2 linked regions of the Rhinolophus ferrumequinum genome follow. The protein of the gene in region 2 purifies or fractionates together with the protein of the main gene of each other region. This does not show direct contact. Links are inferred from orthologs where the notes say so. Each region holds a gene or a part of one and is shown on either strand. Other genes may lie near its edges.

Region 1 (7,085 bases), on a different chromosome or scaffold from region 2:
TGGGTGTGACTGCATAATGAGTACAGGGTTTTCCTTTAGGGCAATGAAAATGTTCTGGAACTAGATATTGGTGATGATTTCACATTTTGAATGTACTAAATGCCATTGAATTGTACACTTTAAAATGGTTAAAATTGTGAAATTTATGTTATGTGTATTTTACCACAATAAAAAAAATTAGTAAAGCGGAAATCCTAGAAAGATTTTTTTTTTCAGATGTAGACAAAATTATTCCGAAAGTTATATGGAAAGCAAAGGAACTAGAATAGCTAAAACAAATTTTGAAAAAGAAGAATTAAGTGAGAGGGATCAGCTTATCTGTTTTACTCAGGATTTTACCCAAGACTTATTAAAAGGCTACACCTGTCAAGATGGTGTGGTAGTGGCAGAAGGATAAATACACAGATCAATGAAACATAACAAAGGACCCAGCAGTAGACCTACACAAATATGTGCAACTGATTTTTTTTTTTTTTACAAAAGTACAAAAAGTAATTCAATGGAGGAAGAATAGCTTTTTCAATACACATTGCTGTAGAACTTGGACATCCATAGGCAAACAAACAAAAAAACCCTCCCTAAGTCTCAGAGCTTACATAAAAACTAACTCAAAGTGGATCACCAACTTAAACGTGAAGCGTAAAACTTTTAGGAAAAAACTCTTCATGATCTAGAGCTAGACAAAGATTTAACATCAAAAACATTGTCTGTAAAAGGAAAAACTTATAAAATAGACTTCATCAAAATTAAAACACATTTGCTCTGCCAAAGACCATTATGAGGATGAAAAGACAAGCTAGTGATTGGGAGAAAACATGTGGAAACCACACATCTTAGGAAGGAGTACTATCTAGAATAATATATAAAGAACTCTCAGACTCAACAGTAATAAAACAACCCAATAAGGAATGGTCAGAATACATGAAGGGACATTTCACTTCAGAGGATATATAAATAAATAAGCACATGAACAGACATTCAGCATCATTAGCCATTAGGGAAATACAAATTGAAGCCACAATTAAATGTCATTACATACCTATCAGAATGGCTAGAAAAATAATGACAACATCAAATGCTGGTGAGAATAATACAGAGAAGCCAGATCATTCATATATTGCTCGTGGGACCATAAAATGGTACAGCCACTCTGGAAAACACGGCAACACGACGGAATTGAGTTCTACCCAAATAGTTAATAGAGAGTTTTTCCCTCTGCAAGACCTCAAGATAGAAATAAACATAAACCAAATAAACAGAACAAAATCTATGAAGGCACACACTGTAATGGAACTACTTGATGGTCAGAATAGAATTACTTCAAAGTCAATGTGAAATACTCTTGGAGCTGGAAGAGCAGAATCTGTTTGCCTGTGGTTCTATTACAACTCTGAGCTAAGTATTGACTGAGTACTCAAGGTCGATTTAGCAAATGTCTACCTTGCTCTTACTGCTAGCCACAGTAAAAGGTGGTTCCCCGGTGATCCAGTGGCTAGGAGAGGTTCCCTCTCCATCTTTTTTCTTTCTTCCAATTTACCGTGTTAATATAAGACCCAGTCTAATTTTACTATAAGACCGGGTCTTATATTAATTTTTCCTCCAAAAGACGCATAAGAGCTGATGGTCCGGCTAGGTCTTATTTTCGGGGAAACAAGAACCCTGGTCTGTTGAAGAACCCAGGACATTTGTGCTCTAGAGTATTCCCACAGTATGGATTTGCATCATTTGATGTCTCCTGTATTTCCTGTAAATTAGTAGTTAGCTCTAGACTAGAGCTTGATCAGATTCAGACTGAAGGGTTTCTTTACAAGGGTACCTCATAGGTCGAATTGTTTACTCCACCTATGACCAGCAGGACGTAATGTTTGTTGCTTCTCTTGTGATGGACAACAGCCATTGTTGACCATTGCCTAGAATCATTAATTCAGTAGAAGTTACAAGAATGTTGATATTCTAATTATGCCATTCCTTCTTCATTCATTTGCTGGAAATTTTCTATCAAGAGAAATTTCCCCCTCATCTTGAGTTCTCACAGAGAAAAAACAGGATCAATGCTTGATTCTTTCCAATTACTAGCAGTTTTCAAAATAATGAGTTGATCTCCTAGCATTCTCCAACAGTGACTAATAAATTTGTATTTTTAAGTATCACTGTGAACTCACAGATTTAAACATATCAAATATGTTGCTGATAGTGTCCATTTTGACACTCAAATTGCCCATGTTTGGCCAGTGGAAATTATTCTAAAAGCTTCTGAGTCCTTTTAATACCATTTTAACAGTCCGTTGAAAGCTTCCTTGCTTATCTTGGACAATTCCTGTCCCATACCTGAAGTTAGTCATTTCTCCAAGGAGTTCCTTTTAGTGGGAAATAGTGTTTAGATAGCTCAGTCTGAACACTAGGCGTGTTCATTGCTACTGAGTTATTATTTTTAGACCTTTTTAGGATAAAGTTGGGAAATGCGTTAGGATAAAAACACCATGAGCTCCAAGTTATATTTCCAATTTAAATTCAGAATTACAGAGTTTTTACCTACTTTCATCACCCATAAGTCTGTATCTCTTTATTATACACCAAAAATCCTAGTTCACAAAGACACTAATATTAACACTCATTCATTTTACCCCACAACACATCTACAATAGTTTCAGAATAATAATACCAACACTGCCACCAACAATGTGACTACTTTAAAATATTTTCACATTTCTTTTTGTCCTTAGGGTATATCTCACTTGGGATGACATGGTCTAATTATTGTGTTTTGAAGTCACTTAAATAGTTGGACTTGGGGGCATTTTACATTTTTGTGATAAAAGCCTTATGATACGGCCTCATGTGTTTGAGAGAAAAACTACATTTGTCAGATATGTATGTATAATAAAAAGAAGGGACTTGTGTGGGCCTCCAGATTCTGAATTAAATGTAGAGTCAATTAATGCAGAGGCCTTAGTGACACTTTATGAAATCAGCCCTTGTGTTAATTTCACTTGGCAGGTACTAAGAGATGATCCCAGATGCCTATGGCTGCAAAAATATGACATGGCTGAATTCTTTGGGTTCAGTATATTAAAAGGTCACAAGAATGTGTTACTTCACAAAATCATCTTTCTGAGTCTCGTTTTCTCTCAGTTTATCTCACCAAGTCCACTCCCCTGTGACTTAACAACCTTCAGAAAATTATATCCCCATTCCTTCTCCACCTCTTTGCCTCTGTTAGTCTCCCCCTACCCTCGCTCCTAACCACTCAGAAGGGGTGTGTGTGTGTGTGTGTGTGTGTGTGTGTGTGTGTGTGTTGGTGAGAAGGAGGGAATGAAATGGAGGCAGTCGGGGGATAGACAGCTGCCAGGACCTGAGCTGGTGGACTGAAACAAACCCTCATCTTAAACAACTTAGAGCTCAGATTTCTTCTTTGGACAGCTGGCTTTTTCAGTCGTTCTGCAATATTCGGCAAAGATGGGGGAAGGGCTGCGAACTATACCTCTGCTACCGTGTTTCCCTGAAAATAAGACCTAGCTGGATAATCAGCTCTAATGCGTCTTTTGGAGCAAACATTAATAGAAGACCCGATCTTATATTATACTAAAATAAGATGGGGTCTTTTATTAATGTTTGCTCCAAAAGATGCATTAGAACTGATTGTCCGACTAGGTCTTCTTTTCAGGGAAACACAGTATCAATCGTATTTAAAGTCAGCTACCTCCTAGCTATACTCCATAGAAACTAAATGCATATTCAATATAGTAAGAATGACAGCGGTGAACGAAAGGCATACAAATTGCCCACTCTAATTTTTAAAGGCCGGGAGCTCACTATTGACCATGCTGGAGGGCTGCCTGGAGTAGGCAATGACTAGTCTCATACAAGTTGGAATGAGATCTCCGACTTGCCTGTCCTATTTCTGTCCCCTCCCCGCCCCGTGGCACCTTATACTTCATATTCTCTCTAATCCTCCCATCCTCCCCACTCCCACACCCTACCCCCACCAACACTCCTGGAATTTTGGACTTAGCTATTTTTAAAACAGTCAACTCAGTAGCCACCTCCCTCCCCCACTCAGCTGTCCAGTGCTCCTGCCAGCCATATACTCCCCCTTCCCCCCCACACCAGACCTTCTCTGGCTCCCTGACCTCACTGAGATTGCAGCCGGTTTGGAGACCTGGGGGAGACATGGAGAAAGACGGGGATCCCCTGACTGGAGATGACTAACAGAATAGGCAGTCATGGCTGGAGAACTGGATATCAGAGTAATGTGTGACCTCTGGAAACAGTAAGTCAAAATGAACTTGCAATTCCTTTAGTAAGCTTTTGGTTTGAAGTTAAGACTTTCATAAAATTGCAACATCTACCTGGATGTCTCTGGTCCAAAAGCTAGGATCTCTTCCATGCTAAGGTGCCCCAATCTCCATTTCTCCTCCTGTCTCCTTTCTTTCTGGCCTCGGGCCTCTGCCCATTTGAAGTTTAATCCTCCACCTCTCCTCTGGCAGTCTTAGCTCTCTTCTCATCTTGTTACCTCAAGACTTCTGATGAAGTGTCCTTCTTTCGGAGGAGTTTCCCACATCCCCTAGTCTGTGGTTTTCTCACCAAGGCCAAATTTAGCCTCAGATGATTAGTCACTGATACTCTACCTTGCCTCTGCTTAGCAGTGCCCTCCGCTTTCCTCTGAGGGTGGGGGCCACTCCTTGTTGTAAATGATTTCCCCCCACAACTCTAGTCCTGCCGTCGTATTCTCCCTCCGGCATGACTGCTCCCCCCTCATTTCCTTACCCTAAGGAAGCTGGCAGGAGTGAGCTGGCCCCTCCCCAAGCTCTGTCCTCATCCAAAGCCTGAGAACGTCCAAATTTTCAAAGGGAAGATTAATGGAAAGAGTGATTCTTCGGTCAGGTTTGAAATATTCAAGAACTGCAGGCTTGGGTTGCATCCCATTATTCCACGAGAGAGGGGGACTTCTAATTGCAGCTCTCTAGCTTAGATGAAAGAGATTGGTTCCCTTTTCATTTGAATACTGAGGAAATGGCTATTCCACCCTTACTCCTTCTTGCTGAACATTCTGACACATGAAAAAAAGAAATGAATGATCCCTGGTAGGTGTCCCCTCCTGATGGGGAGGAGCAAATAAGAGGTATGTTTCTGAAGTATTTCCAGATCTTTATTCTATTGGGAAACCCACTGGGATGACTGCGATCTGCTCGATCCCCATGATTCCTCCTTTTTTGATATTTCTGCTGTTTGGTAGCTCAGAATGGGGCAATACAGTGGACTCTGCCCCTCCAGTCCACTCAACGTTCCTTCCACCCCCACCTAGGGGTATTGCATAAGGGACCTGAAAGTGGCCACAAGAACAGGGCATAGAGGCTTAACAGCCACACTTACAGTCTGCTTAACCTCCAGTCTGTTTATCCTCTTCCTGATCTTTCCAGATTCTCTTCACATCATCCTGAACAATCTTCACCTCTCCTCTTTCCCCATGCCCAGCCAAATTTCTTTTTTCAGTCACTTACAGGTCGGCGGGTCAAAATTCACTAGGTAGGAGGGCCATCAGCTGGAAAGAACTGGAGCCCGGGGGAACCTGGCTGGATAGGTATGGGGGAGCCAGGCCAGTCCCCTAGTCCGCGGTTCCCCCATGGCAGTCCCCCAACTCTAGGCGCTCTCACTCTCCTGCTGCTGCTCTGTGGACATGGTAAGGCCGGGCTAAGGAAGGGTTTGGGATGCTCCGGGGGAGGCTGTGTGGAGGGGCGGCGTGTGTCAATTAAGAGACGGGTGCTGCTGCGGGCTCACGTGCACCACCCTCAAACAGGAACATACTATTTCCCATTCAATTTGGGGAAGGCCACTAGGAAAGACCTTGATGGCCAGGGACAGGAGATCCAGCGGGTTTACACACTTGCAGCAAAACTGAATGAAGACAGGACTAGGGAGCTGGGGAGTGGGGACGGGCAGACCTTCAGGGGTTCCAGGAACGGATGGAACCCCCTGATGAGAGGAGGGAGAGCAGGGTCCTGGGGGGACCGTCTCACCATCCTCTCCCTCCTACCCTCAGCTAATTCTCAATGCAAGATCCTCCGCTGCAACGCTGAGTATGTATCGTCCACCCTGAGCCTCAGAGGTGGGAGCTCCCCAGGAGCGCTGGGAGGAGAAGGAGGCGGCGGCGGCCGGGGGGCAGGGATGGGCTCGGGCGGCCTGTGTCGAGCCCTCCGCTCCTACGCGCTCTGCACTCGGCGCACGGCGCGCACCTGCCGCGGGGACCTCGCCTTCCACTCGGCAGTGCACGGCATCGAAGACCTGATGATCCAGCACAGCTGCTCCCGCCAGGGCCCCACGGCGCCGCCCCCGCCCCGGGGCCCTGCCCTTCCAGGCAGCGGCCCGGTCCGCTCCTCCGGGCCCCCCGCCCCGGACCCCTGTGACTATGAAGGCCGGTTCTCCCGGCTGCACGGTCGCCCCCCGGGCTTCTTGCATTGCGCCTCCTTCGGGGACCCCCATGTGCGCAGCTTCCATCACCACTTTCACACCTGCCGTGTCCAAGGAGCTTGGCCCCTGCTGGATAATGACTTCCTTTTTGTCCAGGCCACCAGCTCCCCCGTGGCGTCGGGGGCCAACGCCACCACCACCCGGAAGGTCAGGACTCGTGCTCCCCCAGGCCCTCTCGTGGTGCCCCCACGGTACCCCTCCCGCCCACCCCCACTGCTCTTCAGCAATGCTTCTTCCTCAACCACTCCCACATCGGGAACCACTCCCTCCTACCGAACACTTGCTCTTGCAAATCACTTTCCCTTGGTGGGAACTGCACTCAAATTCAGAAAACACTGAACAGAAAGTTAGGGGGGGAGAGCTGAGGAGCCCTGGGTTGGCGTTCCAGAAGGGAACCTTTTCCTTCTCCTGTGGGAGTGGCTCAGCGGGAGGCCAAAAAGGAGAGAGGGGGTTGAGCACGGGTGAGGCAATGCTACATTAAAGAGAACAAGGGATCCCGGAGTGAGGGCCATGCTGGGCCTGGCATCTCTGCGGGAATCAGACCCCTGACTGGGGGAGGGGTGGGGGCAGGATGCCCTGAGCCCACAATGAACTGCTTTCCCTCTTGCCTTCACAGC
Region 2 (7,886 bases):
CTCATCCAATAGGACCTATGACCCATGTCTTTGTACAAAGAGAGGGGACACTGGGAAAGACACGCAGGGAAATGGCCATGTGCCCACAGAGGCAGCGATCGCAGTTAAACGGTCACAAACTGAGGACCACCAAGGATTGCCAGCCACCAGCACAGCTAGGAAGAGGCAGGAAGGATCCTCCCTTAGCGCCTTCCAAAGAGCACGGCCCTGCTGACACCTTGGTCTTGGACTTCCAGCCTCCAGAACTGGGAGACAACAATTTCTGCTGTTTTAAGCCACCCTGTTGGTGGCACTTTGCTAAGACAGTCCTAGGACACTAATACACCACCTTGCAGCCTAGAGAGGAGCTCAGCCCCCCTAGACACCTATCTAGACAGCATCTGGCTGGGGCATATAGAGCCCCTCTCCCCCTCAAGTCCCTTCACCTCAACCCCAGGGCCTATGAGTCCCACAATTTCCCAGAAGATTTCGGAGAGAGACACGGTCAGCAGAGAATGTTCTCCATGGTGGGCAGGACTCCCAACTCACCTTTCCCCAACAATGGCCTCCTTGAACTCTGAGGCTTGGCTGACCCACAGGACAGGCTGCCTAGGAGAGGTGGCTCCCCGCCGTCTCGCGACCTAACCTCCCTGGAAGCGTGCCATCACTCCCTGTACTGGATTGAATAATGTTCCCCCAAAACATGGAACCTGTGACTGTGGCCTTATGTGGACAAAGGGTCTTTGCAGATGTAAGCAAGTTAAGAGGAGGTCATCCTGCATAGGCTGGGCTCTGAACCCAGTGTGACTGGTGTCCTTATAAGAAGAAGGAAATTGGTCACGGAGACACAGACACACAGGAAGGAGAGACGGAGGCAGAGATTGGAGTGGTGCTTCTCCAAGCCAAGAAATGCCAAGGATTGCTGGCAACCACCAGAAGCCAGGAAGAGGCAAAGAAGGATTATTTCCTAGAGCCGTCAGAGAGAGAAAGGACCAGCTGACATTTGATTTTGGCCTCCAGAAATATGAGAGAATAAATTGTTTTAAGCCATCCAGTTTATGGTCATTTGCTATGGCAGCCCAGGAAACTGATATACCTTCCAGCAAAGAGAAGACAATGGTGTTCCTGTTCCACCCGCAATGGGCTGTGGGACCTGGGGCAGGTCAACCTCTCCTCTCAAAACCTCAGTCTCTTCTTCTGTTGAGTGGGGACATGTAACTCCCAAGCCTGGACTTGAGACATCTCTGTTAAGGGGCCAGCGTGCGGCTCAGAATTTAAATGCCATACTGTATTATCATCGGAGGAAATGACAGTAACTTATTCATTCAGTCAACCAATGTTTGTTTGTCCTTGTTCCAGGTACTGATCTAGGCTGAGATCCAGCAGGGGACTCACAGTGTAGGGATGGGGAGGGAAAGGTGACTGAGGAAACTGCTTAAGACTAGGCGCTGCCTGAAGGCCTGATAAAAATGCAGCTGTCTGGGTCCTTCAGCCTCTTTGGTGGACAGTCGTGAGCAGCTGCTGTGTGTAGGGCCCCGGGAGGAAGCGGAACACACAAACAGGCGTTGCCATGGCATTTACCTGACACGGCTCACTCAGCATTGTGTCAGTTTGCGGGGGCTGCATAACAAAGTACCAGGAACGGAGTGGCTTCAACAGCAGAAATGTATGGTCTCATAGGTCAGGAAGTGCGAAGTCCAAGATTCAAGGTGTGAGCAGGGTTGGTTCTTTCTGAGGGCTGTGAGGAAGAGTCTATTCCACGCTTCTTTCTTACGTTTGGGTGCTTTGCGGGCAATCTTTGGCTTTTCTTGGCTGGTAGAAACATTACCCCGATTTCTGTGTCTACCTTCACGTGGGATTCTCCCTGTGTGTGTCTGTCTCCAAGTTTCCCTTTTCTATAACAACATTGGTCACGTTGGATCAGGGGCCTCTCCTACTCCAGTACGACCTCATCTTAACTAATTATATCCGTAGCAAACTTATTTCCAAATAAGATCACATCCGGAGGCACGGGGGGTTAGGACTTCCACATACGAATTTGAGGTGACACCGTTCAACATATCACAACAGCTTTTTTGTGCTGCCAGGAAGGCAGGCGGCCCTTGTCCCTTTGGGAGACACCAGGGCTAGTGCTGGCCCAGTGGCCTCCGTCTGAGTGTCACCTCATTTTGAAAATGTCTTAAGAAGTGGGATGTTGAGTAGGTATTTTCTTTCAAACGAAGGACTTCTGTACAATGTCCAGGTCTGTTAGGCAGACGTCAGACATGTCTCCTTTATGTCCCTGTCCCCACTGCCCAGGAACAGGCCTAGATAGAACATTGTAGGTGCTTAACACAGGTTTGTGTAATGAATAAACCAGGAGTCCCGAGTTCAAATTTCATCAGGGCCTTGGTTTCCGCAAATTGGGCCTACGAAGGGCATTGACGAAAGGGTCGTTGTGAGAAGTGAACGAAATAACCCGTGAAGCACTGGGCATAGCACCGAGTCCATAGTAAGTGCTCTTTGCAGCCTCAGCCCGGGCCTGGAAGGCCATTATCCTACGGCCATTGTCACGTGTGAGGAGGACACAGCTGCCCGCCCCCACCCCCAACTCCATCCAAACCTTAAAAAGAGAGGCAGCTAACATTTTGTAAGTGGCTCCCGTGGGCCAGGCACAGCATCTGCAATTTATGTCTCTTCCATCTTTTCACCTTCGACAGCCAAGCTTTATCATCCGCATTCCGCAGATGGCGAGGTGGTAGCTTGGGGAGGTGACACATCTTGCCAGATCACCATCAAGTGCAGGGACTGGGATTTTGGCCATATCCTCTGACTCTCCAACCCCTGGCTGGATCCTTGTCACCTGAGTGTGGTGGAGGCCCGGCCTCCAAGCCTCACCGGCCAGGCCTCCAGGGAGCTTCTCTGTCCCTGTAGAACAAAGGGGCCCAGCGTTGGTGTAAAATGCTGATTCCCAGAGAGCATCGAGGGCTTTATCCTGTGTGTGTGAATGTGTCCCTTTGCTGCAGGGACAAGGGTATCCAGGCCACCCGATTGCCTAGTTGATAGAACGAAGTCTTCTCTCAGCGGCAGGCTGTGCCCCAGTCTGTCTCTCAGCGGCACAGTGTCCCCCACTCATGGCTCTCTGAGCTCTTGGGGCGGTGGCCCCCTTGCCCATGCTTTCAAATGCCTCCCTTTGCATTTTGCTGCCTCCTCATGCCAGCCCCTCCCCTCTGACTGTGGCCGATAGATCAATGATTGGCCAGGCGACAAGTACAGAGGACGTGGATTGTGCAAGATCTTCTGCATTTCAGACTGTCCAGCTATCAGCCTGCCTGGTCCGGGGGCCTGGGTCGTTTGCCTTTCAAAAGACAGAGAGGGTACAGAGGCAGGGCTTGGGGTGTCTTTGACCCTGGCCCGCCTGCCATTCCTGCTCCCATCCTAAGCACCTCTCCCTTGGAAAGTTTGCAATGGGTTGTGGGCCAGGGCCCGGGGAAAGGGGGAGGTTGGAGGAAGGAGGAAAATTACCTGGGTCTGGGGTGAAGGGGAGTGGGACTAGGTGGGGGTTCTCAGTCCCAGGTAGGGGTAATGCCCTTGGGCAGGGGCCAGGGTCCTGGACAGGACTGAACAAGAGGGACGTGCGGGAAGATGCTCCCCACCCAGAATCCCCAACCAGCCCATGGGGCACCCTCCTGCCCTGACCCAGCCCTTTTCAGGTCTGGAGATGGCACACACTGTACGTACAGAGTTCGTACCCAGTGCCTCTGTGCATGGACTCTTATTCCTGATGGACACCCTGTGGACCCCATGTGCCCCCAACACTTGCATACAGCAGGCCCCCGTACAAAGCATACACAGAGGTATGCACATGCGTGTGTGTGACACACGTGAGGTGATGTTGCACAGGCAGTCCTCCTTACCTTCACTGGAAACTCCGTACACGTGCTGACCTAGCCCAGACACATGGCACACGCACACACCTCACACTCACACACACACACACACACACACACACACACACCCCCACATGTCACAGCACTCAGAGTCTCAGATGTGAAACTTCGGGCCTAATTGCGACAAACACCAGTCAGCCTGTGCACAACCAGAAAACCCTGGTGCCTGCCCAACGCGTGCTTTGGAGCAGGATGTGGTCAGACCCACCGTCTCTACCGCAGCTCTGCTCACTAGCACCGCAATTCACATTTGTGAATTTCCATGTTCTACTTCTTGCCACACTTGTGATTTCCATGTTCTAGTAGTCACATGAAAGAATATGAAACCAAGCAGGTGAAATGAATTTTAACAGTATATTTTATTTAACGCAATCTAGCCAACATGTTACCATTTTAACATGTCACCAGTGTAAAAAAATTCTTACTGAGGTATTTGACATTCTTTGTCGGCACCACCTGGTGTGTATCTCAGCCGTGCAGTGATACGTCTCAATTCAGACAGACCCCTCTCCAGAGGCTCCAGAGACACGTGGGGCCAGTGGCCATCAAAATGGGCTACACAGCTCTATAGAATCACGTGGAAATTCAAATAATTTCCAGCTAAACACAAAATAGCACTCTGCACTCCACTCTCTTCTCTCCTGTCCCCAGAGCACATGGCCCAGTCTCCTTTTCTCTCTCGGGCCACTGGCTGCCCGGGTCTCACCTGTCCAGGTAAGGAGACCCGTGTGAGACCCTGCAGGTACCACACAGGGCCCTCAACACAGCCCCCAGTCCCTGGCCCCCCACCTCATGCTCTAGAGGACCAGGGGCTGTAACTAGGCAGGAACGTCACCAGGCAACGGGCCTCGGGGGACAGCTCAGATCTCCTGCACCTGCCCGCCAGCCTCCAGGGTGCCCACGGGGCAGGGCGGGGCGGGGCGGGCACTGCGTGTCTCTTGCCTCCGGACTGTTTACCTGAGCACAGTCACAGTGCTGTCCTGAAGTGAGCAGCAGGCCCATGGAGCCTGGGGCCACAGGCCACAGAGGACAAGGGCCAGACACTCCGGCCATGGCTCTGGGCCATTGATCCAGCCCCAGCTGGCCGGGTGGAGGTGGGGAGACCTTGTCCTGGACAAACAGAGGCCGTGAGGTCTGCGTGCAGGCCCGGCACCCACTTGCCACTCCCAAAGGTAAGTGGGGGCCTCCAGGACAGGGGAGCAGGATCTATGAATGACCCGGTAACAGTGTCCTCTGAGAGCTGGGCCTGGCTCCTTGGAACTTGAGCCGTGTGCCCTGCTCTGAGGCCAGGTCTGCCGCCTCGGCCAGAAAGTAACCAGGTGAGCAGAAGGAGGGTCCATGGAGCTGGGTCTGGGGCAGGACAGGGCGGAGTGAGGCCGGTGTACGGGTAGGTACGGGGCAGTGGAGGAGCTGTGGGTTCTGGGTGCTGGGAGGCCTGGGATTCGGTGGGGCCGGTGGACTCTGGGGCAGGGACAAGGCAGGAGAGAAGCCTGATTTGCTGGCCGAGTACCTCCCAGCACTCTGCAGGACTGGGCATGCTGCCCCCTCCGTTCCCAGGACACGACCTGGGTGGTGTGGTCTGGGAGACAGGCCCAGAGCCCTACACTGCACTAAACAGGGGACCTTTAGCTCCCAGGCTCGGAGCTGAATGCAGCTGGCAGTGTGTGTGTGTGTGGTGTGTACGTGCACAAGTGTTTATGAAGGGGGATTGTGGATCTATGAATCTGTGTCACAGATAGGTGTGTGTACCTTTGTAGGTTTCCATCTGTGTACATCTGTGTGTGAGTTTGTGAGTGTGTTTGTGTGTGTAGAAGGGATGCTCACCCCCCACCCCCACGCACACCCGGGAACACACAGTCACAGTAGCTCATAGCAAGGATTCGCTGTAGGCCTGCGTGGCCTCGCTGGAAGCTCCTAGAACAGAGTCCCAGCTCTGCCTGCTCTGCCCTGCCCCGGCTGGGTGACCTTGAGTGAGCCATTTCATCTCCCTAGACCTCAGTTTCTCCAACCATTAGGTAGAGATGGCAAGGCAAACATCCCAGACTGATGGAGGCTGAGATGGAATGAGGTTTTCAGCATTGCCCAGCACAGGGCTAGCATGGAGGAGGAGGTATAGCCTGGTCCCAGTGAGCTCAGCCCCCAGTGGGCAGATTGAGACCCCTCCATTGGTCAGAAGAGCAGGACGGAGTGAGGAACACGTGCCAGGGTGGGGTCTAAGTGCTCAGATCAGAGGAGAAGCCTCAGGCCCCTATGGCAATTGGGGTAGACCCAGTCCCTCCTGGCAGGGGCTCACTGTCATGGGGACAGAGAAAATGCCCCCAAGGTGAACTATGCATCGATGGGGGTGGCCCAGGAGACGTCAGGGGGCAGTTGCCCCTCCTGGGGCTCTCTGGAGCTTCCAGGAAGGAGGAGGTGAGAGCTGAGCTGAGGTGTGAGTGGGCCATCCAAAAACTGGCCAGGTTAGGAGGTGGGCAGCCTAGGAAGAAAGAAGGGCGTGGTGGGAAAGCTAAATGGTAGGCAAGAACTTTCAAGAACCAGTCTGCGTGATGTTCTTCACCCCAGAGCTGGCAAAGAGCCCTTGATCCGTAACGGTTTTCTACCATCTCCATGACTAGACTTGCTAACTGGTAAGTCCAAGGTCACTGGGGTACAACAGGAAGAAGAGGGCGTGGGGAGAAAGGAGGCAGGAGAAGTTGGCCCCGCCACACACGCACACAGCTCCTGTGTGGGAAGGAGCTAGGATCCTAGCATTCATTCATTCAACAGTGAGGGAGTACCAGGTCTGCTCTTGGCGCAGGGTACACAGTGCTGAACAGAATAAAGCTCCTGCTCCCGAGCCGCTTACAGCCAGTGAGGAGGGTGGACACGTAAGCGTCTCATGCGATTGAGGTCTCAAGAAGTGCTGTGAAAAAAATGGAGAGGAAAAGGGGGTGGTCAGGGAAGGCCTCGCTGCAGAGGTGACATCCCAGCAAAGACTGGGAGACAGTAAAGGAGCAGACCATGAAGCAAACTGAAGGAAAAGCATTGTGGGGAAGGGAACAGCAAATGCAAAAGACTATATATACTTGATATGTTGATAGTCTGGCAAGGAGCTGAGTGGGGGCTGGTACAGAGGGAGGGAGAGGACAGAAAGATGCGAAAGGACCAAATTACCTAGGCCTCTGTGGGCTGTGAGAAGGACTTTGGGCCCTGTTCTAGGTGGACGGGGGCCATGCGAGGCTGGTGAGCGGGGCACGTGGTGAAAAGACTACTCTGACGGTTGTGTAGGAAGGAATTCGATACTGAGGGTGGCCGGGTGACTGGCTACTGCAAGGTCAAGTTCGCAGACGATGCTGACTTAGCTGATGGTGGGAGCCATGCTGGTACCAAGAGAGACTTGGGTTCTGGGGGCATCCGGAAAGTAGAGCCACAGACTTTTCTGATGGACGGGGCCCTTGAAACGATGGGGACGCCCTTGCATAACAGTAAAAGACGGAGCAGTCTGGTCTGGTCATCTTCACACCTGTCAATTGTCACAGTTGTCCATCTCCTGCTGGGCCGTCCACCCCAAGAGGGTGGGAATGGGGTCCCTTATATTCACCAATGTGCCCCCTGTGCCCAGCACACAGCCTGGCACAAAGCAGGTGTTCATCACAAATGCGGTGGCTGGGTAACTGAATCTAAGATCCATGGCTCAAGCCTCACATGTCCTGCTTCCCAGAGGCAGCAAGACGTAGGAGAGAGCACTGCACTGAGAGTCCGGAGCCCTAGGGTTCTTTGCATTCATTCCTTCATCAGGCATTCATTCATGTGGCAAGCCCTGTGCTGGGTCCTACAGGGAATCAGGAGTGAAAAAGATACAGGCCTATTTTCTTGTGAGGAAGAGAAATGAAGGCCAAAGGAACATTGTTGATCTGACCAAGGGCTGCCCAGGAGAGGAGGTGACTTACTACTTAGGGCCTGGGGACCCGTCGCCAGGCAGGTGGCCTTGGAGCCCCC

What was found. Proteins that work in one complex are often made in the same cells at the same time.
Region 1: the proteins of TMPRSS6 (region 2) and HJV purify together in Homo sapiens (co-immunoprecipitation; 3 studies listed by IntAct). This does not show direct contact. The link is inferred for Rhinolophus ferrumequinum from reciprocal best matches to the Homo sapiens genes TMPRSS6 and HJV.

Annotation. Positions count from the first base shown.
Region 1 is NC_046305.1:50,221,764-50,228,848, reverse strand, and holds the start of HJV (hemojuvelin), read left to right. Parts: upstream 1-4,085; 5' UTR 4,086-4,270; intron 4,271-5,493; 5' UTR 5,494-5,583; coding exon 5,584-5,680; intron 5,681-6,040; coding exon 6,041-6,615; intron 6,616-7,084; coding exon 7,085-7,085. UniProt on the Homo sapiens protein: Acts as a bone morphogenetic protein (BMP) coreceptor. Through enhancement of BMP signaling regulates hepcidin (HAMP) expression and regulates iron homeostasis.
Region 2 is NC_046293.1:9,672,354-9,680,239, forward strand, and holds the start of TMPRSS6 (transmembrane protease serine 6), read left to right. Parts: upstream 1-4,873; 5' UTR 4,874-5,080; intron 5,081-5,086; exon of another isoform or gene 5,087-5,227; intron 5,228-7,886. UniProt on the Homo sapiens protein: Membrane-bound serine protease. Through the cleavage of cell surface hemojuvelin (HJV), a regulator of the expression of the iron absorption-regulating hormone hepicidin/HAMP, plays a role in iron homeostasis.